Macaca fascicularis: one gene and its partners. The protein of the gene in region 5 interacts with the protein of the main gene of each other region in a pairwise test. Links are inferred from orthologs where the notes say so. Each region holds a gene or a part of one and is shown on either strand. Other genes may lie near its edges.

What was found.
Region 1: the proteins of KRT15 (region 5) and SGF29 interact in binary tests that used the Homo sapiens proteins (3 or more experiments, as listed by UniProt). The two-hybrid records come from large-scale screens. The link is inferred for Macaca fascicularis from reciprocal best matches to the Homo sapiens genes KRT15 and SGF29.
Region 2: the proteins of KRT15 (region 5) and ARFIP2 interact in binary tests that used the Homo sapiens proteins (3 or more experiments, as listed by UniProt). The two-hybrid records come from large-scale screens. The link is inferred for Macaca fascicularis from reciprocal best matches to the Homo sapiens genes KRT15 and ARFIP2.
Region 3: the proteins of KRT15 (region 5) and SMARCD1 interact in binary tests that used the Homo sapiens proteins (3 or more experiments, as listed by UniProt). The two-hybrid records come from large-scale screens. The link is inferred for Macaca fascicularis from reciprocal best matches to the Homo sapiens genes KRT15 and SMARCD1.
Region 4: the proteins of KRT15 (region 5) and TXLNA interact in binary tests that used the Homo sapiens proteins (3 or more experiments, as listed by UniProt). The two-hybrid records come from large-scale screens. The link is inferred for Macaca fascicularis from reciprocal best matches to the Homo sapiens genes KRT15 and TXLNA.
Region 6: the proteins of KRT15 (region 5) and KANSL1 interact in binary tests that used the Homo sapiens proteins (3 or more experiments, as listed by UniProt). The two-hybrid records come from large-scale screens. The link is inferred for Macaca fascicularis from reciprocal best matches to the Homo sapiens genes KRT15 and KANSL1.

The regions. Positions count from the first base shown.
Region 1 is NC_088394.1:27,850,909-27,853,816, reverse strand, and holds the end of SGF29 (SAGA-associated factor 29), read right to left. Parts: intron 2,199-2,908; coding exon 2,069-2,198; intron 1,999-2,068; coding exon 1,852-1,998; intron 1,654-1,851; coding exon 1,618-1,653; intron 1,512-1,617; coding exon 1,349-1,511; intron 704-1,348; coding exon 587-703; 3' UTR 501-586; downstream 1-500. Other genes in the region: sulfotransferase 1A1-like, read left to right, coding at 1-28, 151-263. UniProt on the Homo sapiens protein: Chromatin reader component of some histone acetyltransferase (HAT) SAGA-type complexes like the TFTC-HAT, ATAC or STAGA complexes.
Region 2 is NC_088388.1:59,599,422-59,603,663, forward strand, and holds the start of ARFIP2 (arfaptin-2), read left to right. Parts: upstream 1-1,442; 5' UTR 1,443-1,543; intron 1,544-2,315; 5' UTR 2,316-2,357; coding exon 2,358-2,456; intron 2,457-2,707; coding exon 2,708-2,804; intron 2,805-3,513; coding exon 3,514-3,632; intron 3,633-3,812; coding exon 3,813-4,034; intron 4,035-4,119; exon of another isoform or gene 4,120-4,193; intron 4,194-4,242. Other genes in the region: TIMM10B (mitochondrial import inner membrane translocase subunit Tim10 B), read right to left, coding at 556-732, 924-1,019, 1,221-1,256. UniProt on the Homo sapiens protein: Plays a role in constitutive metalloproteinase (MMP) secretion from the trans Golgi network. May have important functions during vesicle biogenesis at certain cargo subdomains, which could be predominantly utilized by secreted MMPs, such as MMP7 and MMP2.
Region 3 is NC_088385.1:56,914,782-56,919,019, reverse strand, and holds the start of SMARCD1 (SWI/SNF-related matrix-associated actin-dependent regulator of chromatin subfamily D member 1), read right to left. Parts: upstream 2,801-4,238; 5' UTR 2,773-2,800; coding exon 2,596-2,772; intron 1,976-2,595; coding exon 1,788-1,975; intron 1,502-1,787; coding exon 1,459-1,501; intron 1,366-1,458; coding exon 1,243-1,365; intron 759-1,242; coding exon 636-758; intron 1-635. UniProt on the Homo sapiens protein: Involved in transcriptional activation and repression of select genes by chromatin remodeling (alteration of DNA-nucleosome topology).
Region 4 is NC_088375.1:202,849,163-202,853,288, reverse strand, and holds the start of TXLNA (alpha-taxilin), read left to right. Parts: upstream 1-1,326; 5' UTR 1,327-1,380; intron 1,381-1,951; exon of another isoform or gene 1,952-1,953; 5' UTR 1,954-1,985; coding exon 1,986-2,154; intron 2,155-2,885; coding exon 2,886-3,221; intron 3,222-4,126. UniProt on the Homo sapiens protein: May be involved in intracellular vesicle traffic and potentially in calcium-dependent exocytosis in neuroendocrine cells.
Region 5 is NC_088390.1:62,557,296-62,561,266, forward strand, and holds the start of KRT15 (keratin, type I cytoskeletal 15), read right to left. Parts: upstream 2,801-3,971; 5' UTR 2,738-2,800; coding exon 2,240-2,737; intron 1,088-2,239; coding exon 1,005-1,087; intron 883-1,004; coding exon 726-882; intron 182-725; coding exon 20-181; intron 1-19.
Region 6 is NC_088390.1:67,802,848-67,806,793, forward strand, and holds the start of KANSL1 (KAT8 regulatory NSL complex subunit 1), read right to left. Parts: upstream 2,801-3,946; 5' UTR 2,756-2,800; intron 1,226-2,755; 5' UTR 1,092-1,225; intron 1-1,091. UniProt on the Homo sapiens protein: Non-catalytic component of the NSL histone acetyltransferase complex, a multiprotein complex that mediates histone H4 acetylation at 'Lys-5'- and 'Lys-8' (H4K5ac and H4K8ac) at transcription start sites and promotes transcription initiation.

The DNA of each region.
Region 1 (2,908 bases), on a different chromosome or scaffold from region 5:
CACAGCATCTCCCCCTTCATGAGGAAAGGTGGGTGCTGGCCAGCACGGGGGTTTGGGGCGGGTGGGAGCAGCGGCTGGAGCCTCCCCATAGGCACTCGGGGCCTCCCCTGGGATGAGACTCCAGCTTTGCTCCCTGCCTTCCTCCTCCAGGAATGACTGGGGACTGGAAAACCACCTTCACCGTGGCGCAGAATGAGCGCTTCGATGCGGACTATGCGGAGAAGATGGCAGGCTGCAGCCTCAGCTTCCGCTCTGAGCTGTGAGAGGGGCTCCCGGGGTCACTGCTGAGGGAGTGTGCGAATCAAGCCTGACCAAGCGGCTCAAGAATAAAGTATGATTTGTGTTCAATGCAGAGTCTCCATTTCAAGCCAAGAGAAACCATGAGCTGAAAGAGTGATCGCCCACTGGGGCCAAATACGGCCACCTCCCCACTCCAGCTCCCCAACTTGCCCTATTTGGAGAGGGGAGAGGGTCTGGAGAAGTAAAACCCAGGAGACGAGTGGAGGAGGAATGTCTGTTTAATCCCAGCACATCCTCTGCTGTCCTGCCCTGTGTCGTTGGGGGATGGTGAGTCCACCAGGCAGCGTCACTTTTTCTTGGGCTCCTTACAAGCCACCACGTACCTCTGAGCCACATTCAGGGGAGGGGAATAGCCGTCTGCATAGGAGGTGTCTTCAAATAGGACCGAGTAGTCATCCTGGGGCTGTGTGGCAGGCAGACAGGAGGGCTGCTCAGAGAGCCCCAGGCCAGGACAGGCACCCCCTTCTCCCAGCCTAGACCACAGGAGCCTCTGGGCTGTGGACTCTCAGCCACTCTCATCATCCTTCACTCTGGGGTCAAGATGTCTTGGCCCGGTCCCTGCTGCTACACAGCTCTTTTCTCAGTGGCTGGAGACCCAGGGCAGTGAAAAGGGTGGGGAGAGGAAGGGGCGCTGACTCCTTTCCTAATGGGGCCATAGCTGGAGGGTCTGCTGCCTTTCAGGGACCCAGGGCAACCCAGATGGTGGCAGGTAGGGATCCTAGCCTCAGGTGGCTTGTGTCCCATGTCACCAGGAGCATAAGGGGGTAGGAGCCCGGGGCTCAGGGCAGGAGCTTCCCATCTCAGAGCTAGTTCTCCTAGGAATGCAGAAAGGGAGTTGCTGACTCAGGGCTTGCCAAGACTGCCAGGGCTTGCAAGGGGATGGTGACCTTTGGGGCTGGAGTGGAAGAGGGAGGGCAGCTGGTGGGTGCTGTCAGCTTGGAGCTTGTGAGATAAGGACAAGGGGAGGGAGGGGGTAGAGGACCCCTTGTCTGTCTGATCAGCCTGTTCCTGACATCACCCATGGCCTCTCCCATGGAGGCTGGTTTACCCGCTGTGGGGGTGCGTGGATCAGGGCACGGTAGAAGCAGGTGGTCTGGGGATATAAGGCCAGCACGAGCTGCTCCTTCTGAAACAAGGCCTCGGGGTCCGTCTCTGGGTTGGCCTTCCACTGGGGCAGCGGGATGACACGGCGCCGGCTCAGGGTGTGTCTCCTGGGAGAAGAGGGGCTTATATCAACATGTGGCCAGGTGGGGATGCTCCTTCCCAGACGTTAGGCTGCCCCCAGGCTCCGTGCCCTGCCCTGGCCTAGACACTCACTCTTTGCCTTCTTCATCGATGTCGTCTACCTCATACCTGTGGACAAAAGGAGGAAAACGCTGGATGCAGCCAGGGGTGCAGTCCCTGTCGGGGAGTGAGGATGGGGGAGGACCTGGTGCTCCTTGCACAGTTGGCCTCTGGGGAGCTTTTCTCCTGCTGTGCAGACGGGAAGCAGAGCGGCAGCCCAGGCAAGTTCGGTGACCAGAAAGCAGCCCCGGGGCTGGTGTCACTCACTTGTTGGTGGCATGGCTGTAACTGACCACCTCGGCCAGGATCCACTGCTCGTCCCCATCCACGGCCTTCACCCGGGCAGCCACCTTGTCTCCAGGTCTGGCCACATAGTCCCCTGAGGCGGGGATGGCCCCACAGAGGGGTGGGGGCCTGTGAGCAGAACAAAGGGTCAGTCCCAGCCCCTGGGCACCAGCCCCTCCCTCGCAGCTGCTGCCCTCACTTGTCACCGGGCTTCCCGATCCACAGGGGCAGGGTCATGGCCGACTGCTGCAGCAGGGTCATCAGCACCCCTCTGCGCATGGTCTTCCGGGGTGGCTCCGAGTCATTGTAGAGACCTGCGATCTTGGCCGCTGTGAGAAGGAAGGGAGGCCTGAGGCCCCAGGGACAGGTGCTGGCCCTGACCCCCCAGCATGCTGCACTGAGCTGTTGGAGGACCCCCTGGGAGCGCCCAGTTCCTGAGTGAGCCCGAGGGCCCAGCAGGACTGTGACCCTATCGGCCATGTGTCAACACCTATAGGGGCTGCTGCGCTGAACCACAGTTGAGTGAGAGGGCAGCACAGCGCACACCCAGGGGGAGGAAGCAGAAGAAAGAAAGCAGTTTCCGAGGTGCTGTTCAGGCTGTGTTTGCTGATCTGAATGCTGGTTACAGAAGTGTGTTTAGTTAGTGAATATGTCATTGAACTCTGCACTTACATGTACTTTTCTCCTATTAATATACGTTGTAATTCAATAAAAAGTTAAAAAGAACACAACAGGCCGGGCGCGGTGGCTCAAGTCTGTAATCCCAGCACTTTGGGAGGCCGAGACGGGCGGATCACAAGGTCAGGAGATCGAGACCATCCTGGTTAACATGGTAAAACCCCGTCTCTACTAAAAAATACAAAAAAACTAGCCGGGCGTGGTGGTGGGCGCCTGTAGTCCCAGCTACTCGGGAGGCTGAGGCAGGAGAATGGCATAAACCCGGGAGGCGGAGCTTGCAGTGAGCTGAGATCCAGCCACTGCATTCCAGCCTGGGCGACAGAATGAGACTCTGTCTCAAAAAAAAAAAAAAAAGAGCCAC
Region 2 (4,242 bases), on a different chromosome or scaffold from region 5:
CGGTTATAAGCCATTGAAGTCAGTCAGACTTAAGGACAACTAGACAGAGCTCCCATTTTCTGTCATCTGGGCAGGAACCAATCTCCTTTTGTATCAAATGGCCTTCTGGTACATTCTGGAATCTTGCTTCCTCATCTATTTAGTGAGGCTAATACCGCTTACTTGTAGTTTTGTTGTAAACTAAGATAAAGCCTGACATATTACTCATTTTAAAATTGTACACACAGACCCTGCTTTAACCAGATGCCTGCAAATACTCAGGTTTTCCTTCTACATATAGAAGACAACTTATCAGCTGCCAGGGCTGAAGCCAGCAGATATGGCTAAATGACAGAACAAAGGATTATGCCAATAAACTATGCAAAGCTTCCTTGCCCAGAATATAAATCAAACAGAGTAAAAAGCGAGTATATTGGCTCCAGGAAAAGGAGCAAGGACAGCCAGTTTTCAGGCGACCTCGAATTCTCTCCGTTTAGGATTCACCAACCCTAAGGTCCACTGGGTCCTTCAATCTGAGGGTCCATCCAGGGCCTTCCCTCCTGGGGTTGGAGATGGCTAGCTGCCTGATGGAGAGACCCCAGGCTGCTCAGCAGCAACGCCTGGCACAGCCGAGACAGCCTCGTAGTCTGCGATGCGGCGCTGTACCAGGGCAGGCATGAGCTGCACGTAAGCGGCCATGAGGCGGTGGTTGGAATGGATCAGCTTCCCAGCACAGCTGTGCAGACAGGCCTCCTAGAAGGAAGATAGGGTTTAAGCGGAGGACAAAGGTGTCCTGTCGGGCCCGCCTCCGTCCTTCCCCATGCACAGCCTAGGGGTGAGGGTCTGGGAAGGCCAGGACCAGAGGTAGGGGAAGTGGGGTGAGGAGGGAAGCAGTCTACCGCTAAACTCTGTTTGCAGCGTAACCTCCTTACACAGTTCCCCACCTCCTCAGCGTCCAGAGCTCGGTGGTGCAAGCTGGGCACACAACGCTGGAAGCAGAGTTCTGTCATCCGATTGTAGACCAACAGGAAGTCACGCAGCTGGGAGAAAACCGGGACCACGAACTCAGCGATATGTGCCCCACACTTCTACTCAAGGTCGCGCCGCCCAAAGTTTCCCAGGCCCGCGCACCATAACCCGAAGTTTCCAGCCCTCAGATCCCTGGCTCTATGGGGTTTCCGCGATGTGTGCAGGAATGCGAGCTGAACGTCTGGCCCCGAAACGACTTAGTTCTCACTCACGTTTCTCAGTTGCTGTTGCTGCTGCTGCTGCTCCATCACGCCACCGGCGCATGCTCTACGCCACTTCCTTTTCAGCTTCTCGGTGCCGCCCCGGAAGTAACCTCTCGCTGCTCTCGAGAACCAAGCTAGAGTATCGCCCTGCCCCGGCTTCGACGTCACTTCCGCCCTTATAATCTGCGACGTGGCCGGCTTCTTCTGCCCGGAGAGGACGTCACTTCCGCCGAGTCCCTGACCTGCTGCTAGGATCGCGACGGGAACTGGAGCCCGAGGTCCCCGCGCGGCCCGGGCCTGGCGCCCTGAGGGGAAGAGCGGCCCGGCCCGAGGTGAGAGGGACATGCTTGGGCGACGGGAAGTTGAACGCACAAACCTGTCCAGAGGGCAAGATGCCCCGAGCCCTGGGGAAGAATGAGGACACACCTGATGTCCAGGTGTATGGGGGTGGGGGCGGGGACTCACATACCTGGGAGACTGACTGTGGAAGGGATCACCGATATCCTGGTAAAGACAGGCTTTTGCCAGAGACTGGGAACATACACCAACTGATCTAACTAAGGCCTGGTGGGGAGGGCCCAAGGAAGAGGAGTTGTATGAGACGGAGGAGGGGAGACCCCCTGAAGGAAGGGGGAAGAAACACTAAAGGAGTGAGAAAGGCCAAGCAATGGAGAACAAACCTGAATGGGGGGTGAAGACCTGAGCCCTGGAAAGGGTCCATCTCCTGCTCAGCATAAACACGCCTGCATGGAGATAAGTTCTAAGAGAGCTACTTTCCCTCTTCACTGTTGTATTTTCATTGTCACAAATAGTACCTGACACAGAGTAGGCACTCACTAAATGTCTGCTGAATGACTGAATGAGTGTAGAATAATCACCAGAGGCCTGGTGAGGTTGGGGGCTTGTGAGAAGACACCGTGCTTTGGTGTGCCTGTGTACAAATGTGCATTTTGGAGGGGAGAAATACATATACCTGAAGAAAGGAATGATGACCAAACGCTGGGACACTCAAACCCTGGGACAGCCTTTAAAGAAATGACAGAGGAGGCTTCCTTCTTCTAGAGTGCTGGCCAGTGCCCAGAACTTCTGTGTTGGGCTTTGCAGGGTGCTGGGGTGGAGAGTTTTACTCCAATACCTTTCCTAGCCATGACGGACGGGATCCTAGGGAAGGCAGCCACAATGGAGATCCCTATCCACGGGAACGGTGAAGCCAGGCAGCTTCCTGAAGATGATGGGCTGGAGCAGGTGCTTCTGTTTGATTCTTCTAATTGTTTCAATTTAGGAATCCAATTTATAAATCCTGGGTTCTCACCCTCCATTCCAGTAGCCTTCCCCTGAACTTATCTGACTCCCTTAATTTTACATATCATTTTGATTCTGTGCAGACTTCCCTTGTGTAGTGTCTTTATGATGCTTGAATCCAAACTTGTTCCCACCTCCAAAATGCTTCTGCAGTCCCTATGTTCCTGAAGCAACCCCTCTTCTCTGGCCTATAGGACCTCCAGCAAGTGATGGTGTCAGGACCCAACCTCAATGAAACCAGCATTGTGTCTGGTGGCTATGGGGGCTCTGGTGATGGACTCATCCCCACAGGTATGAACAGAAACAGGAAGCTTGGGTGGAGGAGGGGACAGGAATGGTTTGGGGAAGCATAGGATATGTCTAGGAAAGCTTGAATAATGTCTGGAGATCTTAGGAACTTCTGCTTGTAGGAATCCCATGGACTCTCCTCAGCCCAAAAGCAACTCCCAGCATTGTCCATCCATTTCCCTTTTGCCACTTGGCCCCTGAAATGGCTCATTCGTCCTTTCCCTGCCACCACCTGAGTCAAGTTAAGACCTACTTCACAGGAATGCCCCCGCTCTACAGCTTGAGGCTGAGTTGGAACTTTGTGAGGCTTTTCAGAATTTTTAGATTCTAAAGTTTAGAGGAACAAACAGCCCTGAATCTCACACTAAGATTCCACATGGGAATGCAACCAGGTTTCTTGTTATCATGACCCACCATCCTTGACTCCTGCTGCCCCCAAACTCAGTGTATTTTCTTCTGTTTCCTCTGCCCCTATACACCAACAACTCCCTGCAAACCTCTCCTCTGGCCTCCAAGGAGGCCATATGTATATCAGGATTTGGTTATCACTGTGCAAGGTCCGAGTTCCTCCTAGTAAACAGGAGAATCCAGTTGTCTCTAGCATCTCCTTCAGGGAAGTCAATTTCATGTGCTGGGAGAGAAGCATGGGTGGGGCCACAGAGGTGTCTGGTGTATCTGAGAGAGGCTGGTGTCAGAGAACTTGATCCTTTAGGGTCTGGCCGCCATCCATCTCACAGCACCACTCCTGCTGGCCCTGGAGATGAGGTGGCTCGGGGCATTGCTGGAGAAAAGTTTGACATCGTCAAGAAATGGGGCATCAACACCTATAAGGTAGGATTTGAGCACCTCTCACTTCCCCAAAACTCGTTATGGGTACCTTTTTCCCCTTTCCTCATGATCGTAATATCCCATCTGTGGCTGAGAGTAGGAGCCTGGGTGGCGTTGGGGTAGATACCTGTTGTGTCGGGAGGCTATTAGGGTCTCTGATCTATTGCCCCGTTTCCCAATCAGTGCACAAAGCAACTGTTATCAGAACGATTTGGTCGAGGCTCACGGACTGTGGACCTGGAGCTAGAGCTGCAGATTGAGTTGCTGCGTGAGACGAAGCGCAAGTATGAGAGTGTCCTGCAGCTGGGCCGGGCACTGACAGCCCACCTCTACAGCCTGCTGCAGACCCAGCATGCACTAGGTGATGCCTTTGCTGACCTCAGCCAGAAGTCCCCAGAGCTTCAGGTGCCTCACCCAGACCAAAGAGGGTGGGGGAACTGGGCATGGGCCCTCCCAGGCAGTCATTCGTCATCCTCCCTCCCTCCTGCAGCCCACAGGGAGAACCCCTTCAGGGTGGGCCCAGCCCTACCCCCAGCAGCACTCACCTGTGGAGGCAGCCTAAGGGTTTGTACAGAGGTCCAGAAGTTGGAGGGGGTGGGGGAGGGGGCACACT
Region 3 (4,238 bases), on a different chromosome or scaffold from region 5:
TATATAGAGAAGGAGGCTCTGACACTGAGCCCTGGTTCTCCTGCAAAAGTGCATTCCAATTAGCTTCCTGCGAGCAGCTAAAAATAGAGCAAGAGAATGTAAGGGAATGAGAGAAAGGTGAGCTTCCCCGAGGAGCTTCTGGGTTGGGAAGTTTGGGGGCTATCACCTGTCAGCTGATGCTCCCCAGGAAGCAACAAAGAGCCTGTCAAGAGAAATCTATCCTACTTAAACTATGGGGTGCCTCCAATGAAAGTTGAGAAGATGGAGATACCACAAGAACTCAGAGAGGAAACACGGCCTCAAATGAAGTGCAAACTCGACTAAAAACAAAACAAAACAAAAACTAAATAATCTACAGATACGGCTAAATCCAATGGCCAGCAGCACCAAGAGGAAGGTAAATCACAAATCAGATCCCAGGACAATAAGGTTCTCCACATGATACCAGTGAAGGCCAAAGGTGTGGGGGCAAACACAAAGGACCATTGTCTTTCAGTGCAGGGAACAGTGTCCCTCTCCCTACTGCTCCCAAAAGGAGCTGTGAGCACCAGTTAGGCTTCCTGCTGACCAGACAACACTGTTCATTCCCAGCAGCTCCCACCCTAGATGCCAACCACTGTGGACCTTGAACTCACATCCTCCAGGAGCCGTCCTTCTACCCGAAGCTCCCAGGAAGCCACCGTCCCTTCCCCATCCTCGGCATCTGACTTAGCCGGATTGAAAGTGTTAGAAATGAAAATTCGCAGCTTCCGTTTTTGCTGAGGAAGGCAGAAACAGGATTGATCGTGGGGCTTCAGTGGTCTAATGTTGAAGACAAGAGTCTCCCCAAACCCCAAAATTATTCCTAACAGACTGGCTTACTGTCTACCCAGTCCCTTGGGTGGGTGGATGAAGATTCCATTTAGAAGAGGAGTACTGGCCATCAGCCTAAGTACAAGTGCATACAGTGGGATGCCAGGTGGACAAAGTCACGCAAGGTGCCAGGTTCCCAAGGTAGCAGAGCAGTTACAGCAAAAACATGGACAAGGGTATATTTGTAGTGCAAGAGACATCAAGAGCCCCTCCCCCTTTGCCATTCTGTTCTTATCCTCCTAATGTAATTCTCAGTTTGTAGGCGGAAGGGAAAGATACAATTTAAATGCCAAGGAGAGTTGTGCTGTGCCTTTGATTTCTCATCCTAAGCCTGCTGAAGGTTCCTGGGTCCTCTCCTTTGGCTCTCTGCTTAGTAACTTCCTGTGTTACCTTGATGGGACGTTTCAAGGCCTCTTGGATATCTAGTCGTTTCCTCATGATAGTCTGGTCCAGTTTCCTTTCAAAAGCCAAGAGATCCATATAGGCCTGGGATTCTGGTACCAGTTCACGAATCTTAGGAACAGAAAAATTAATTGAAATCTAGGATGATTCATCTCTATACTCAAACCTACCACACTTTCCAGAAAACAGATAGCCTGGACTCACCCTTTGAGGTAGAATTTTGTCAGCCATCTTCTTTTTCTTTGCACTGTTGGGAATAAACACTATTATCAGGTTGGGACAGAACTAGTCAGAACGTGAAAATAAGCTGTCAGCATGTCCATTTATAGTAATGTGAAGGGATTGCAAAGCTGCTCTCAAAGAACTACCACCACCACCACCACCACCACCACCACCACCACCACCAAGCATTCTCAATCATCCTGTAGCACCATCTGCTGACACAGCACCACCACTTCTTGGTTCAGGTAATCCCACCACCTGTGTACTCCCAGGCTCCCTCCCTCCCTCCCTCTGCCCCAGGATCATCTTACTTGTGGTTTCGATTTTGGACAGCCTGCTGCTGGACCTGCTGGATCTGCTGAGGGGCAGGTCTCTTGCGGGACTGATCCATCCCTGACTGGGCCAGGCCAGGTCGGACTGAAGGGTTCCCCCCATAGCCAGGGGGTCCCATGGAAGGTCCCTGAGGTGTCATTCGGCTGCCTGGCAACATACCTGGTCTCTACAGAGGGGAGAGGACCCAGAGATGTCATGGTTTCACCTGCTAAACCCCACCAAGAAAGAAAAGCAGGGAACGCCTGAGTTCTTTGAATGAAGTAAGGTTTACGGATGGAATGGAGGACAATGAGACGAGAACCCTCTGCTCCAGCAGTGACTCCACAGAAAAATAAGAGTCCAAAAGCTAAGCGAGAGCCAGATTATACTCAAATTATCGGTCTATTTTGGATCGGACACATCGGACATCGCCAGTTCCACATTTACTCTGCTAGCTACTATCTCTTTAGAAGCTGACCTCAATTTGTCAGCTACACGTTCTGTGTTCCTTTGATCAATGGAGCTGCTCAAGCCCCTCTGCACTCCGGCCCTCGTATAGGTATCCCTGGACCCACTTCACCCACCCTGGTTCTCTACCGACTCCCCACGGAAACAATGCCCCTAGGAGCTGGTGTGGACACCAACTGCCTCCCCCTCTCTTCCTGCGCACTGCCTCCCCCAGCCCCCACCCAGAGCCCGAACCCCTCCCAAGGGAGTCCCTCCTACTTCTCCCCCCACCCCTGTCACTCCCACGTCCCCGCTCGGCCCCGCCCCCGGCCCGCGCGTCCCTCCTCCTGCCCCACTCACCGGATAGGCCGCTCCGGGCATCGGGGAGCGGTACAGCCCTTGACCCGGAGCCGGGCCCATTCGCACGGGAGGCCCCGGAGTTCCGCCCGGGCCCAGGGCAGCAGCCGCGCCCGCCCCTCCCGAGGCTCCGGCGCCGCCGCTCGGAGCCACAGACTGGAAACCCGCCCGGGCCGCCATCTTCCCGGAGCCGCCGATGCAGCTGCACAAAGAACCGGAACCGGAACTCCCCCCGCCCCCTGAGCGCCCCCCGAGCGCCCGCCTGTTCCCCCGGCCGGCTGGCCGGCACGGGAGGCTCAGGGCAGCGAGACTGTCGCCTAGAGAGGAGCGAGTAGCGGAAAAGGCGTGCTGGCCACGCCCTCCCGCCTTCACGGTCCTGGAGGGAAAACCATAGAGAAGAACTCTGGGATAGAGAGGCCCCGTGAGTGGGCGCCCCCAGGCCGACGGGAGGTAGACAAGGACCTGGAAAGGGGGACGGACCACAGCCTCAGCCCCAGTCTCAACCCCGACTCCAGCCCGCTGATGATGAGGTGCTTGGAGTAATAGCTTCATCTTGGCGCATGGCATTAACTTCCCAAAACGCTTTGATTGCTTTTCGTTTCATTTTCTTACTGCTATAACTATCAGGGGCTGAGGAGGGAAACACAGTTTATTCCATTTTCCAAATAGGAAAGCTGAACTCACAGGTGAACGACTTGGCAAAGGTCAACCAGCAAGTTAGTCATAAAGCCGAAGCCAAGATTCCAGGTCTTCTTGCTCATAGCCCAGGACTCATTCCACAGATAAAGTGCCTCAATAACTACCTCACGTGGGAACTTCAACCTAACTTTGTCTCCGACCTAACCTGCTTCCGGATTATTATTATTATTATTTTTTCGACATGAGGTCTGTCTTTGTCACAGTGGCACCATCTCAGCTCACTGCAACCTCCGCCTCCCAAGCTCAAGTGATCCTCCCACCTCAGCCTCCCGAGTAGCTGGGATCACAGGCATGCACCACCATGCCAGGCTGTTTTGTATTTTTGGTAGAGACAGGGTTTCACCATGTTGCCCATGTTGGTTTCAAACTCCTAAGCTCAAGTGGTCTGCGCGCCTCAGCCTCCCAAAATGCTGGGATTACAGGTGTGAGCCATTGTGCCTGGCCTCAGATTTTTTTTTAATATTAAAAAATAGGGATGGGGGTTTCATTATGTTGCGTAGGCTGGTCTCGAACTCCTGGCCTCAAGTGATCCGCCCGTCTCAGCCTCCCAAAGTGTTGGGATTACAGGCGTGAGCCACCGTGCCAGCCTGCTTCCAGATTTTATAATAAGTTCCAGTTTATCTTGAATTTTGACTCTGCTCTCTCTCTAAAGCATTGTTCGTGATGGGGATTCTGTTTTGGACCTTTGTTGCCTTTGACTCCTCCCTCTTTCCCTGCCCAGTGGTTCAAACTATTCCTGATACGATGGTCAGCCGTCCCATCCCAGGAGGACCACAGTCTCCCTATTCAAACCTTCTCCTTACTCATCCCCTAATTGTTTGGCCCCAAACCAAGCTCAGCTCTAGGCACTTAGTGAGAATACCTAAATATGTTTTCAAATAAGTGAACAACACTGAAGAGGAGATGGTTGAAACCCAGTTTATTAGACCAGAGGCATGCGTCACCCA
Region 4 (4,126 bases), on a different chromosome or scaffold from region 5:
AACGCTCAATTAGTACAACAGTTTACAATCTTCTCTACCCACAGCCTGATGCGAGGCTCTGGGACTAGAATATTTAGCCAACAGTTCTTGCAAAATTAACTGACTTATAAGCAAATAGTAATTTCAACACCTCACTGCTAATGCTGTAACAGAACTCTGCAGACCTAGGGAGCAAGTACGGATTGCAGAGCACTGGGAAGGCTCTGAAGTGACCTTTGAACTGGGCCTCAAAAAATTTTGGGTTTGGCAAAAGCCAAACCTCTTAGGCTTCAAATTCTAGGCACAAGGATTGTTGGGTTTGACTTCATTATCCAGAAACAATGAGGATACAGAATTGTGATCTCACGTGTAGAGAATTGTGGGGTTTTTTTCTACTTTAACCCCAGTGAGACTTCGTAGAGTATGGGGTAGAGAAAAGGCTCATGAATATGCCTGAAGCCTGACTCAGCACCTTCCTGAGGAACTGACTGCCAAAACGGTAATGGAGAGGGGAAAATATGACCTACTTTCACAAGTTACCTTGACTGCCTCAGGGAAACCTGCTGTGGTAGTGTTTCTTCTGGGTAAAAGACAGGGTAGCCGAATAGTTACCTGGGTGCTGGTGTCAGACTTACGTTTTGAATCCCTGTTTTAACCACTCACTATCCATGTGACCTTGGACAAGTTACCTAACCTTTCTCTTACTGTCCTTTTCCGTAAAATGGGGATAACAGATAGTAGTTATTTCTATGAGTGGTTATGAGAACCAAGCTATTAGATACTGGGAAAGCACACAGTAAGCGTTCAAGGAACTGTTATTGTTATTAAAAGCCTCCTTCGGAAGAAGGACATCGAGGCCCAGAGAGAGAAAAGAACGTCCAGCCACACAGCAAATCCGTGATGAAATTGGGACTGGAGTGTGGGTCTCCTGAGTCTCAGTTCAGGACTCTTATCCCTCTTCCCGAGTCCTCGGAGTTCCTGGATGGAGTCACATTTGTTCACGGCCAGGGAGGAAGGTTTGATGGAGGCCTGCAGGAAACAATAGCCAGGCGCAAAGCCTTCGGGAGTTGAAACATAGCTTCTGCGAGATAGAAACAAGGTTGACGTGGGCACTCGTGCAGAATGACGGGCTCCTTTTGGACTCTGAGGACTACAGCCCCTTATGCACTTCGGGACTGCGGATAGCCCCTGCGTACGGAGGAACGCGTAGACTTTTCCCTGCCCCGCCCTCCCGGCGCGCCCGCCTCCGAGGCCGCCCTCGCTTAGTCCTTCCCAGCAAGCTCCGCGCCGGCGCCGGCTATTGATTGGCTGAGGCGGGAGCAGGCGGCTCGCCGGCAGCGGTTACTCGGGGTTTCCGGTGCGAGGCCAGAGCTGGGGAAGCCGTCGGACGTCGGCGGTGAGGTACGTGCCGTGGCAGCCGTTGGGCGAGACTATTTGAGGGTGTGCGGGCCGGGATGTTCTCGGCCTGTGGGGAAATCACGCCAACTCCGCGCGTGGGCCGGCGGCCGGGACGGGGGGAGGGGGGGTGGCCTGCCTGGGGGGGGGGGGGGTGCGCATGCGCGGGCGTGCCTCGAGGCTGCAGGGCGCGCAGGGCGTGGGTGGCTGCGAGCGCGGGGGGCGCACGTGGGGCCTGAGGGGCGGGGGCGGCGCCGGCGCCGGGAGTCCCGCCACGTCAGTCTCCGGCCCTGAGCCAATCCCGGGCCCGGCCTGCCGCGAGGGGGCCGGTTGTGTAGAGAAGTGGCTCCAGGGAGAAAAGAGGCCCCTTCCCTCACCCGCTGCGGGAGCTGCGCCCCGAAAGCCTGTCCCGGCACGCCGGGCTCCCCTGACCCTCCAAGACCCGAGAGCCGTTGGCGCCCTCTGCCAGGGCCGGCCGGTCCGTTTAAGAAGCTTCGTGCGCCTGCTGTGGGGATTTTCTGATCCAGGCTGCGAAGAATTTCGAAGTCTGGAAAATAGCAACTGTGTTTGTTTCTAAAGGATCTTCTCCTGACCCAGCATCTCTCATCACAATGAAGAACCAAGACAAAAAGAACGGGGCTGCCAAACAATCCAACCCAAAAAGCAGCCCGGGACAACCGGAAGCAGGACCCGAGGGAGCCCAGGAGCGGCCCAGCCAGGCGGCTCCTGCAGCAGAAGCAGAAGGTCCCGGCAGCAGCCAGGCTCCTCGGAAGCCGGAGGGTGTGTGCCAGCTCTGCGTTGCCAGCGGGCAGGGGGTGGAGCTGTGGGGCCGGCCTCGCTTCTGGACTTAGAGGCCGAAGCCAGGTTGTCCGGGAGGAGGGAATATAGAATGAGAGGACAGTGCTGGGGCCGCGGTCACCCCCGAATTCTGGCGAGTTGGCGGAGCCGCTCCCTGTAAGCACAGGAACAGAGTTCTGGAGAGAACCTCTAACGGGATTAAGTCAGGTGGCAGCCAAACGGGGCACCCAGTCAGGAAATCCAGGTCCGGTTTGAAACACCTCAGCCACTAGCAGCTAACTGCCCTTCCTGTTTGAGGCATTTCTAGAATGATCTGAATGGTAAAAAATGGTTTTGTGAGGGGGAAGGAGATGGACTAGAAGTTGCACCATGCCATCCCTGTGTGCTGATGCTTTACATACTTTTATGATCATAACAAACATGTTCGAGTGGTAGTGAGAAATAGTTGTGTCATTTTACAAGTAAACAGAAGTGAAGCTTAACTATATTATATTACTATAATTTCTTGATTCAAAAGATGTTTCGAATTTAAATTCTGACAGGAACTAGATTTGCTGAATAATACTCCATTCTTGCTTCTCAGTTTCCATAAAAAAAGAAAAGTTAGGCAACATTTAACTCAAACTGATGAGTTTGGCTGGACCTGAAAATTCCCAACCAGTGGTATAATTTGTCTTGTTTCTCACTCTACCCCTCATCCTCTCCTGCTGTAGGGGCTCAAGCCAAAACGGCTCAGTCTGGGGCCCTTCGTGATGTCTCTGAGGAGCTGAGTCGCCAATTGGAAGACATACTGAGCACATACTGTGTGGACAGTAACCAGGGGGGGCCTGGCGAGGATGGGGCACAGGGTGAGCCAGCTGAACCCGAAGATGCAGAGAAGTCCCGGACCTATGTGGCAAGGAATGGGGAGCCTGAACCAACTCCAGTAGTCAATGGAGAGAAGGAACCCTCCAAGGGGGATCCAGGCACAGAAGAGATCCGGCAGAGTGATGAGGTCGGAGACCGAGACCACCGAAGGCCACAGGAGAAGAAAAAAGCCAAGGGTTTGGGTGAGCAGAGGGTGGCTCTTTGTGAGGCTGGTGAGGGGAGGGAGTTTGGACTTGACGTTCTCTGGACCAGTCTGTTCCGCCAGGATTCAAAGGAAAACGGTACTTCTCAGAACAGCAAGTCACTCTAGTGTAATCAAAGCCAGGGATGTGGGGGCCACGGCATAGAGAGATGCAGGGGTTCCCAGCACAAGGCCTTCTGGCTTTTGGAGCAATTGGGGGTTGGAATGGGACCTGTTCTCTCTTTGAGAAAATGGAGATGGGAGGCCAGGGTGGGCTCCTGTGCCAGCCAGTACTACCTGCTGTGTGATCTCGGGTGTGTCCCTTCTCCTCTCTGGGTCTTAGTTTATACTTCTCTTTACAGTAAGAAAATTAGACTAGGCTGGAGTTGAAAACCCAAATGTCTGCATAAGCTGGGCTGGCCATGGGGCCACATGAAGATGTAGGCTACTTTATCCAAAGACTTTACTGCTTCCTGATTAGTTGCTCTCAACTAGCCAACTGAGAGCAGGCAAAACTGCAGGCTGGGTGCAGGCTTCTTTTATTTTTATTTATTTATTTATTTATTTTTTGAGACAGTCTCGCTCTGTCACCCAGGCTGAAGTGCAGTGGCACGATCTCGGCTCACTGCAAGATCTGCTCCTAGGTTCACACCAATCTCCTGGCTCAGCCTCCCAAGTAGCTGGAACTACAGGTGCCCACCACCACGCCCGGCTAATTTTTTTTTGTATTTTTAGTAGAGACGGGGTTTCACTGTGTTAGCCAGGATGGTCTCGATCTCCTGATCTCGTAATCCGCCTGCCTCAGCCTCCCAAAGTGTTGGGATTACAGGCGTGAGCCACCGTGCCCAGCCTTCTTTTATTTTTTTAATTATTTTTGTTTGTTTGTTTGTTTTTTGAGACGGAGTC
Region 5 (3,971 bases):
GGCAGGAGATCAGGCCCACCTTGCTGAAGAACCAGGCCTCAGCATCCCGGCGGTTCTTCTCCGCCATGGCCTCGTACTGCTCCCTCATCTCTGCCAGCACGCGGGTCAGGTCCACGCCCGGTGCTGCGTCCATCTCCACATTGACCTGGCCGGCCAGCTGGCTGCCGAACTCCTTCATCTCCTGCAGGGTGGGAGGGGCCCATTTAGAGACGGAGAGCAGAAGAGAAACCTGAGTCTGGGGTCCCACATGCCAATCCTGGCTCTGCCCCTAACGCACCCCAACCGATGTTCCCTATTGCACATGAAGAGGTTCGGTCACATGGACCCCTCAACTCTGAGGAGCTCTCTGCTGCTCTAGGTCCTACCAAAGGGAGGACCCCGAGACTGTAGGGCCCTGATGTGAGCTCACAAAGCCAATGAGGAAGTCAGTCATTCGTACTGGCCACCTGGCCTGGCTGTGGGTCTGGGCTACCACAGGTCAGTGCCCCTTCCTCTCCATGAGGACACCTGGTTTTGGGGTTTGGGGGTGTTTCTGAACCACTAAGCCCCAGGCCAACGATGAGGAAGTACCAGCAGCCCCACTCTGCCTCCCACCGACTTAATCTCGCGAAAATCTGGGAGGGCTTCCTGGAGCCGCTGTCTTTCCCTCTGGGCAATTTAAGTGCGTTTTGGGAAGAAGTTCCCCACCTCTCTCAGGTTCAAGGGTGATGGGGGCCAGCTCTCACCTCCTCGTGGTTCTTCTTCAGGTAGGCCAGCTCCTCATTCAGGCCCTCGATCTGCATCTCCAGGTCAGTCTTGGCCAGGGTCAGCTCATCCAGGACTCGGCGCAGGCCGTTGATGTCAGCCTCGACGCTCTGGCGCAGGGCCAGCTCGTTCTCATACCTGAGGAGAGAGAGGGAGGCCAAAGAAGGAAGTGGGAGGGGTCTTGGCTGCCTGAGTCAGACCCAGGAGAAGGCCAAGTAAAGTGGGCAACGCAGGAAGAGGAGAGGGAGGGGGGAGCGCACTTGAGCCTGAAGTCGTCTGCAGCCAGCCTGGCGTTGTCGATCTCCAGGATGACCCGGGAGTTGTCGATGGTGGTGGCCGTGATCTGCAGGAGACAGAGTTGGTGCCTAGAGGACTCCTCTCTCTCCCTTGCTGCTCTCCACTCTGCACCCAAGGCCAGCCCCTCACTGACAATCACCCCTCTGACACCACCAACAAAAATCTGTAGGGCCTCTGGGGTGGGCAGAGTCCAGCCGCATCTTGAGTGTCCACTTCTGGTTTTGTCCCATACCAGCCTCCTTGAGACACCTGAGGAGTTGCCCTCCTTGTCTCCAGGGCACGAAAGACCAAGGAGGCAGTACTGCCTGTGGGAATTGGTTGCCCAGAAGAGTGGTGGAGTGGGGTGTGGTCAGCTCTGACAATAGCCCTCTCAGAGACACTCCACCAGCCCCCCTGTGGACAGCTCATGGTCACTGCCTCCTGCACATCTTGGACACAGCCATGGATCTACAGAACATTCCAGCCAGTAGCAACCTGGAGGGCAGCTAAAGAAGGCCTTTTACAAATGAAGAACCCAGTCTCAGGGAGTAAAAAGGTGAGTGAGTGGGTGACAGAATGTGTAATGAGTTCCCAGGTCTCCTAAGACCCAACAGTACTTTTGGCACAAAAGGTCTCTTTATAGGAAAAGACAAGAGGTTCTAGCATCTGGGACTCATGAGGCCACACTCCAATCCCATTCTTGCCAAAGAGGTGAAGGAATACTTTATGCAGAAGCCTGCAGGGTGCATGAGGTAGGGAAGGCGAGCTGCTCTTTTTTTTAATTATTGGTTTTTTCCATTAGATACAGGTTCTCACTCTGTCACCTAGGCCGGAGTACAGTGGCACAGTCATTAGCTCACTGCAGCCTCTAACTCCTGAACACAAGCAGTCCTATCACCTTGGCCCCCCAAAGCACTGGGATTACAGGTGTGAGCTACTGCCCCTGGCTCTTTATAATTGCCCCCACCTGTGCCCCTGTTGGTCCTAACCAGACTCCCAAGACCCCTCCCTTCCTCCCCCAGCACCACCAAGTTGAGAAGATGTGCACTAGCCTCTGCACCTGGACAGCAGGTGCATTCCAAATTTGCTGAGGTTACACACCAGACAGTCGTTGCCTGGGCAGGAAAGGATTTCCTCGAGTCAGCAGTAACACCGACATTAGAGCCACATACAGGGTACCAGCCACCTGCTCCCCTCTCTTTGACATCTGAGGACTCACCTTGTCCCGGAGCTCTTCAGTGGTCTTGAAGTATTGGCTGTAGTCGCGTTCCGGGCTGGTCGGGGCCTGCTTCTGGTACCAGTCACGGATCTTCACCTCCAGGTCAGCATTGGCCTCTTCTAGGGCACGTACCTTGTCCAGGTAGGAGGCCAGGCGGTCATTGAGGTTCTGCATGGTAATTTTCTCATTGCCAGAGAGGAGACCACCATCGCCACCACCAAAGCCACCACCAAAACCCCCACCAATGCCCCCTCCAAAGCCTCCACCAAAAACACTGCCAGCCCCTCCACCAAAGCCACAGACCCTCATGCCACCCCCGTAGCCCCCTCCTGACCCTGAAGACACAAACCTAGCAGAAGAAGCTGAGATATTTCGGCTTCCACCTCCCCCATAGAGACTACCCCCACCAAAGCCACCTCCCCCAGCCAGAAGGGAACCCCCTCGGGTAGAGCCACCCCCAAAAGTGGAGGAAGAAGTTTGCAGAAATGTGGTGGTCATCGTCAGGTAGCTGGAGCCCGTGAGTTCTCAGCAAACCCAAGAGACGCTGGCAGGAGGTACCAGGCCAGGCTGCACTCTGGAGCTCCTTATATTCCCCTCAGAGGGTGCTGTGGGACCTCGTCTCCTCCCCCAAAGCAAAGCCAACTCCTTCTGCCTTCCTGACAAACACAGCTGCCTGCACACCTTGAGTGGCTCGTGTGAAGTTTTTCTCTTCTATTTTTTTTAATGCAACAAAAGAGATGATTCAGAATTAATAGTGTTTTCCCCCGGGGCACGGTTTTAACACTTGGATTACAGGTTCATCTCTCCATGCCAGAAGAGAGCAGCAGGGAGTGAACTCTCATCACAGCACAGCTACCAAAGCCTCTAGCTGAACTGAGAGCAGCTCAAGCCACTGTGCCCTCAGCTGGACTTCTCCACTGCCCCGAGCCCTGAGCCTCTGCCCAAGGGGACAGCTCCGTGTTCTCGGTTTGGGAGTCCACTTCTTGATCATTACACTGTGTTATCCAACTCAAAACCCTGTGAGTGAGTGAGAGACTGCAGGGCTCAGGGGGAGTGGAGGCCTCTGGGGATGGGAATGCAGGACCCCCAGTTGGAGGACAGGAGCCAGGGACCTTGAGTAGTGTTCCAGCTGAGGTGACCAGAGGAGCCAGCATCCATCCCTTCCCTGGTGCTGCAGATGGACTCCCCTCCTCCCACCTCTACTCCCCTCCTGCCAGCCTCCAGCCTATGTCCCTGGCACCCTCACAAAAGCCCAGCAGGCTCGGGGCTGACAAGGGGATGACTGATGATCCCGACACCTGCCAACTGCATAGCGCTGAACCTTTGCTCGCTTCTGGGATGTGTTGGGGCAGACCTCCGCTGATAAGGCTGGGGCAAGTTCCAAGCAGCATGTTGCTGCTTAGCAGGGCCAGATTAGCCCCCATCTGTCCTGTCAAGTGCTGGCTGGGGAGGGGCCGCTGCAGAAGGCTCTATGTGCCTGAGTGCTGTGGAAGGGAAGAGATGGGAGATTGGCGGGCAGGCTGGAAGACACTGGAGATCTTGAAGACCAAGGCATCACTTCACAAAGATGGGGAGTTGAACACTCAGGAGAGCCCTTTTCTCTGCCACCGGCTCAGGGACACCTTTCCAGGGACAACTGACACCTGTGGGCAGTGCCTCTTGGAGGTGTGGCCCGGCCCTCCGGACCTGGCCCCAGGGCTTACAGAAACTCAGGAAGAGGATTCCTAGCCCA
Region 6 (3,946 bases), about 5.2 Mb from region 5:
TAAATGAAGATGAGAACTCAGTCTACATGACCTAAGATTTCCCACAAGTCCAGATATTTAGGTTACGCAGACTGCATTATTGTCCGATTTCTCCTCTGCATTAATCTGGAAGTCTACAGAACAGATTAGCACACAACAATCTTAACTAAGCTAGTATCCAACTCTGAAGGAAGGCGAAGCTGGTGGAGGGTTTCCAAGACTGCTTATCCTTCTCTGTCCTTCCTCCCATACCCTCCTTATGTCTTTTTTGGTTTTTGTTTGTAAAATTTAAAAATATTTAATTTTTTTAAATGTATTTTTAGTCACAAGAAAATCAAAGAAGCCACCCATTTCAGTCTTAAGCTCTGCCCTTTGCCTAGTCCTAATGGAGGGTTCTTTGGCCATCTATGTATAAAAGATGAGAGAAGCCAAAGAGACTGGAGAACCACCACATCAATGGGAGCTTTTTCATCTAAAGGTCATCTGTCCACACTGTCCAAATGAGGTTTACCCTGTGAAATAAACTTGGCATAAGTGCTACCTGTTGAGAAAAACAGTGTGAAATGTCACGCAAAGGACTGGGGTGCAGCAGGAGGACTCTGAAAAAGTCATACGTGTAAACCAGCAGGTCTTAGAATGTTCTAATATACTATATGCAGTTTCAGAGTAAACAAATGGTTAATGACACATCTTTTGTAACACATGAATCAGCTACTGATTTGCAAGAGTGGGACACACCCTAGTACCTATGACTCTAAAGTACCTGTTTGAAAAGTGGACCTAGATGTCTGAATTGCCAACCTATCCTAAAATTGGAACAGAATTTTATAACTATGTAAGTTGCCATAATTTAAAGTTAAAAAGATCACTGCCTTTCATTATAATGGAAGTTAATTTGAGAACTTCATTAAAACGTTCACACCGATAATCAAAGAACAGTAGCAATGCAAAGTAAGGTACAGCCAATCAATCCTAGGAAGCAAACACAAGAGGCAAGAGAAATGGCAGGTAAAGGAACTGAAGAATAGCAAATTCAAGAATTACAAGCATTACAAAGTTCTAAAGAAAAATGAATAAAATGAGGCTGGTAATGAAAAAATAACACATCTTACCTTAAGAGGCATCCAAATAGCATTCATAGTGTCAGGATATAAAGACAATACTCAGAAATGAGCAAGAAGTCTTAGTAATTCCCTCGGTTACCAAGTATGAGCAGATAGGAAAATCTTTTGTTTCGATAAGGTATCTGAAAGAGAGGATTTTCATTTAGACTAAAAAATAATCAAGAAAATGCAAATAGTTTAAGCTACATGGGCAGAGATTTTGAAGTACTATTTGCCTCATCGCACTAAAAAAGTATAGAAAATACAGTCCCCTTTAGAAAACGGCAAATGTGTGTGTGTCTCCGTACATATGTGTAGAAACATACGTTATATAAAAAGAGAAATAAATATGTAACACTTACTTTAGATAATGTAAAATTGCTTATCAAACAGCCAAAATCCCAGAGAGAATAAAGTTTCCAGGGTACCTCATAAACACTAAACGTGATTTGTTAACTAACCATCTAAAAAAAGACCCTTGCTACATTTAATTATATTTAGTAAAGTAAAACCTCTCTAATCATCCCGACTGTCCCAAGATTATGCTTAAGTTTCAGAGTCAATTCCACATGAAAAGTAAAACCTATTCTTGACTGAAGTACTAGAAACAAATAAAATACCCTTCTTCCCCAGAGATCGTTAAAAGCAGACCGAGCAACTTAATTTTGAGGGTAGGAGGAAGGTAAATTTGCCTGGAGGCTGGAGGATGGACTAAATGACCTCTAGTAGGATCCTCGTTCAAGTCCTGGGCCTGAATACAATTCCAGCTTAACCAGTTACTGCTTCGCTTAAAATGGAGGCTTGCCCGCGTAGGGACAAAAATAACAGCACCCACTTCGTTAAAAACAAATGTCGAAAAGTACCCTTATTTAAATAAAAATAAAAAATAAACACCTCTGGAGTGGATGTGTTCTTGCTATGCGTTTGTCACTGAGGCTTCGAAGACTTGGCATCACTTTCCTTACCGCTCACCGGATTTTGGGGGAGGAGCGGGGGGCGGCAGTTTGACTCCTGACCCAAGTCTCAGGCAGGCTTCAAAGCCCCACCAGGGCCCCCAACTCCAGAGCCAGAGGGAGCGGAGAGGCGAGAGCCCGAGATCGCACCTCCCCCCACCGCGGACCCCAGTCCCAAACCTACCCCTCACCCCTCCGCAGTGGGGCGCCTCCTTCTGCCCCATTCCCATTGTTAGGGAGGGGAGAGCGCGGGGTGGGCTCAGGGCAGGGGCGCCCGCGGCCGTTGCCCGGCTCGCTTCAGGAGGGGCGGCCCGCGGGATGCGGCTTCCCTTCCTCTCCGCGTCGGTCCGTCCCACCTCGGCTCGGCCTGGCGCCCCGAGCTCCGCTCCGCGCCCCCGGCCGCGGCCCCGGCCCGCCCCCGGGGCAGCCAGGCCCCCCGGCCACTCGGTCGGCAGCCTGCGGCCCAGGCCTACGAGTGGGCGCTGGGCGGGGGTCCCCGTGCCCCACACACGCGTCCCTCTCCCCGAGCCCCGCCGCTTCCAGGGCCCTCGGCGGCGCCCGCTCCCCGGGCCCCGCCGCCCCCCGCCTCCCAGCCGGGCCGCTCCCTCGAGCTCGTCGTGTCGGGGCCGCCGCCTCTACCTCACCATCACCCCTGTCCACTCGTGCCCCCACCCCCAGGGGCACCAGTGCCAAAGACAGCTCCCCCAGCCCCGGACCTACCTGCACGGTTCAACCAAGCCTAGAAGTGGGGGCGGGGAATCTTCCGCCCTCCTCTGGCGTTCATTGGCCCTTCAGGGGCATATCGTGAGCACCATTGGCTGAGCGATAGTGTCCGTCAGAGAGATGGGGCGGGACCGAAGGGGGAGAGGGATGCTGGTGCCTCGGCGTCTCTGTCTCTGTGTATCTCGCTGTCTCTGTCTCTGTCTCGGCCCTTGGAAACGAGAGGCTTTTGGATGAGAGGACTAGAAGCGGGCCTGAGGTGGGAGGAATAGGAATAGGAATCCTGCCAGAGCGTCACGCCAGTTGGCCACTCTGAACCCCCTACCTAAGTCCCCTTTAGGTTCTCTTCTCCATCACCCCCAACCCCTGCCCCTCACCCCTCGAGGTTCCTTCATCCAGGAAGCGACGTGATGAAAACTCCAGGCCGGAAGGCCATAGGGAGAGATGTTATATATGTATAGAAAATATACACATATAAATATTTATATATAAATTCAACCAGATATCAGTTCACTAGGGCCTGGAAAGGAAAGGGCACACATCTCACAGACAGGGAAGGACTTGAGATAGAGCCGGCAGAAGAAGGAATCAAAAATCACTCTTACGAGCTGGCAACAGTGGTTACCTCCTGGGAGGGGAACTGAGTGCCTAGGGAACCAGTGGGCGGAAGACTTACATATCTCGGCGTATCCTTTGTATCCATTGATTTTTGCACCATTCATCAAGATTCCAATTTTTTAAAAATTGATTTAAAGGTTTAAATAAGGTCCCAAAACCAGGGGACAGATAAGATAGTTGGCCAGGAAAATTGGCACAACATGCAGATTTGGGGAGGAATCTTAGCTTTTAATATATTCAGTTCCAGGTAACAGGGTTTTGTAAAACCCAGTGAAGGTGTCCTAGAGGCAACTGAAGTTACAGAACTTGAGAGAGGGTAGACAATCAGGAGGACTAGAGACTATGTGGGGTCCTCTGCCTGAAGATAGTGGTCTGTGACATGCTAAACTCCCTAAGCAGGGTAATAAGACACCCACGGTAAAAGGTAGGAGAACGAAAAAGAAGGTCAGTGAGGTAAAAGAAACAGAATATTAAAGAGGCATGAAAATTAAGGAAGGAAGGGTCTGTGGAAAATAGAACAATAAAACTATGAGAGAGGACGGGCGCGGTGGCTCATGTTTGTAATCACAGCAC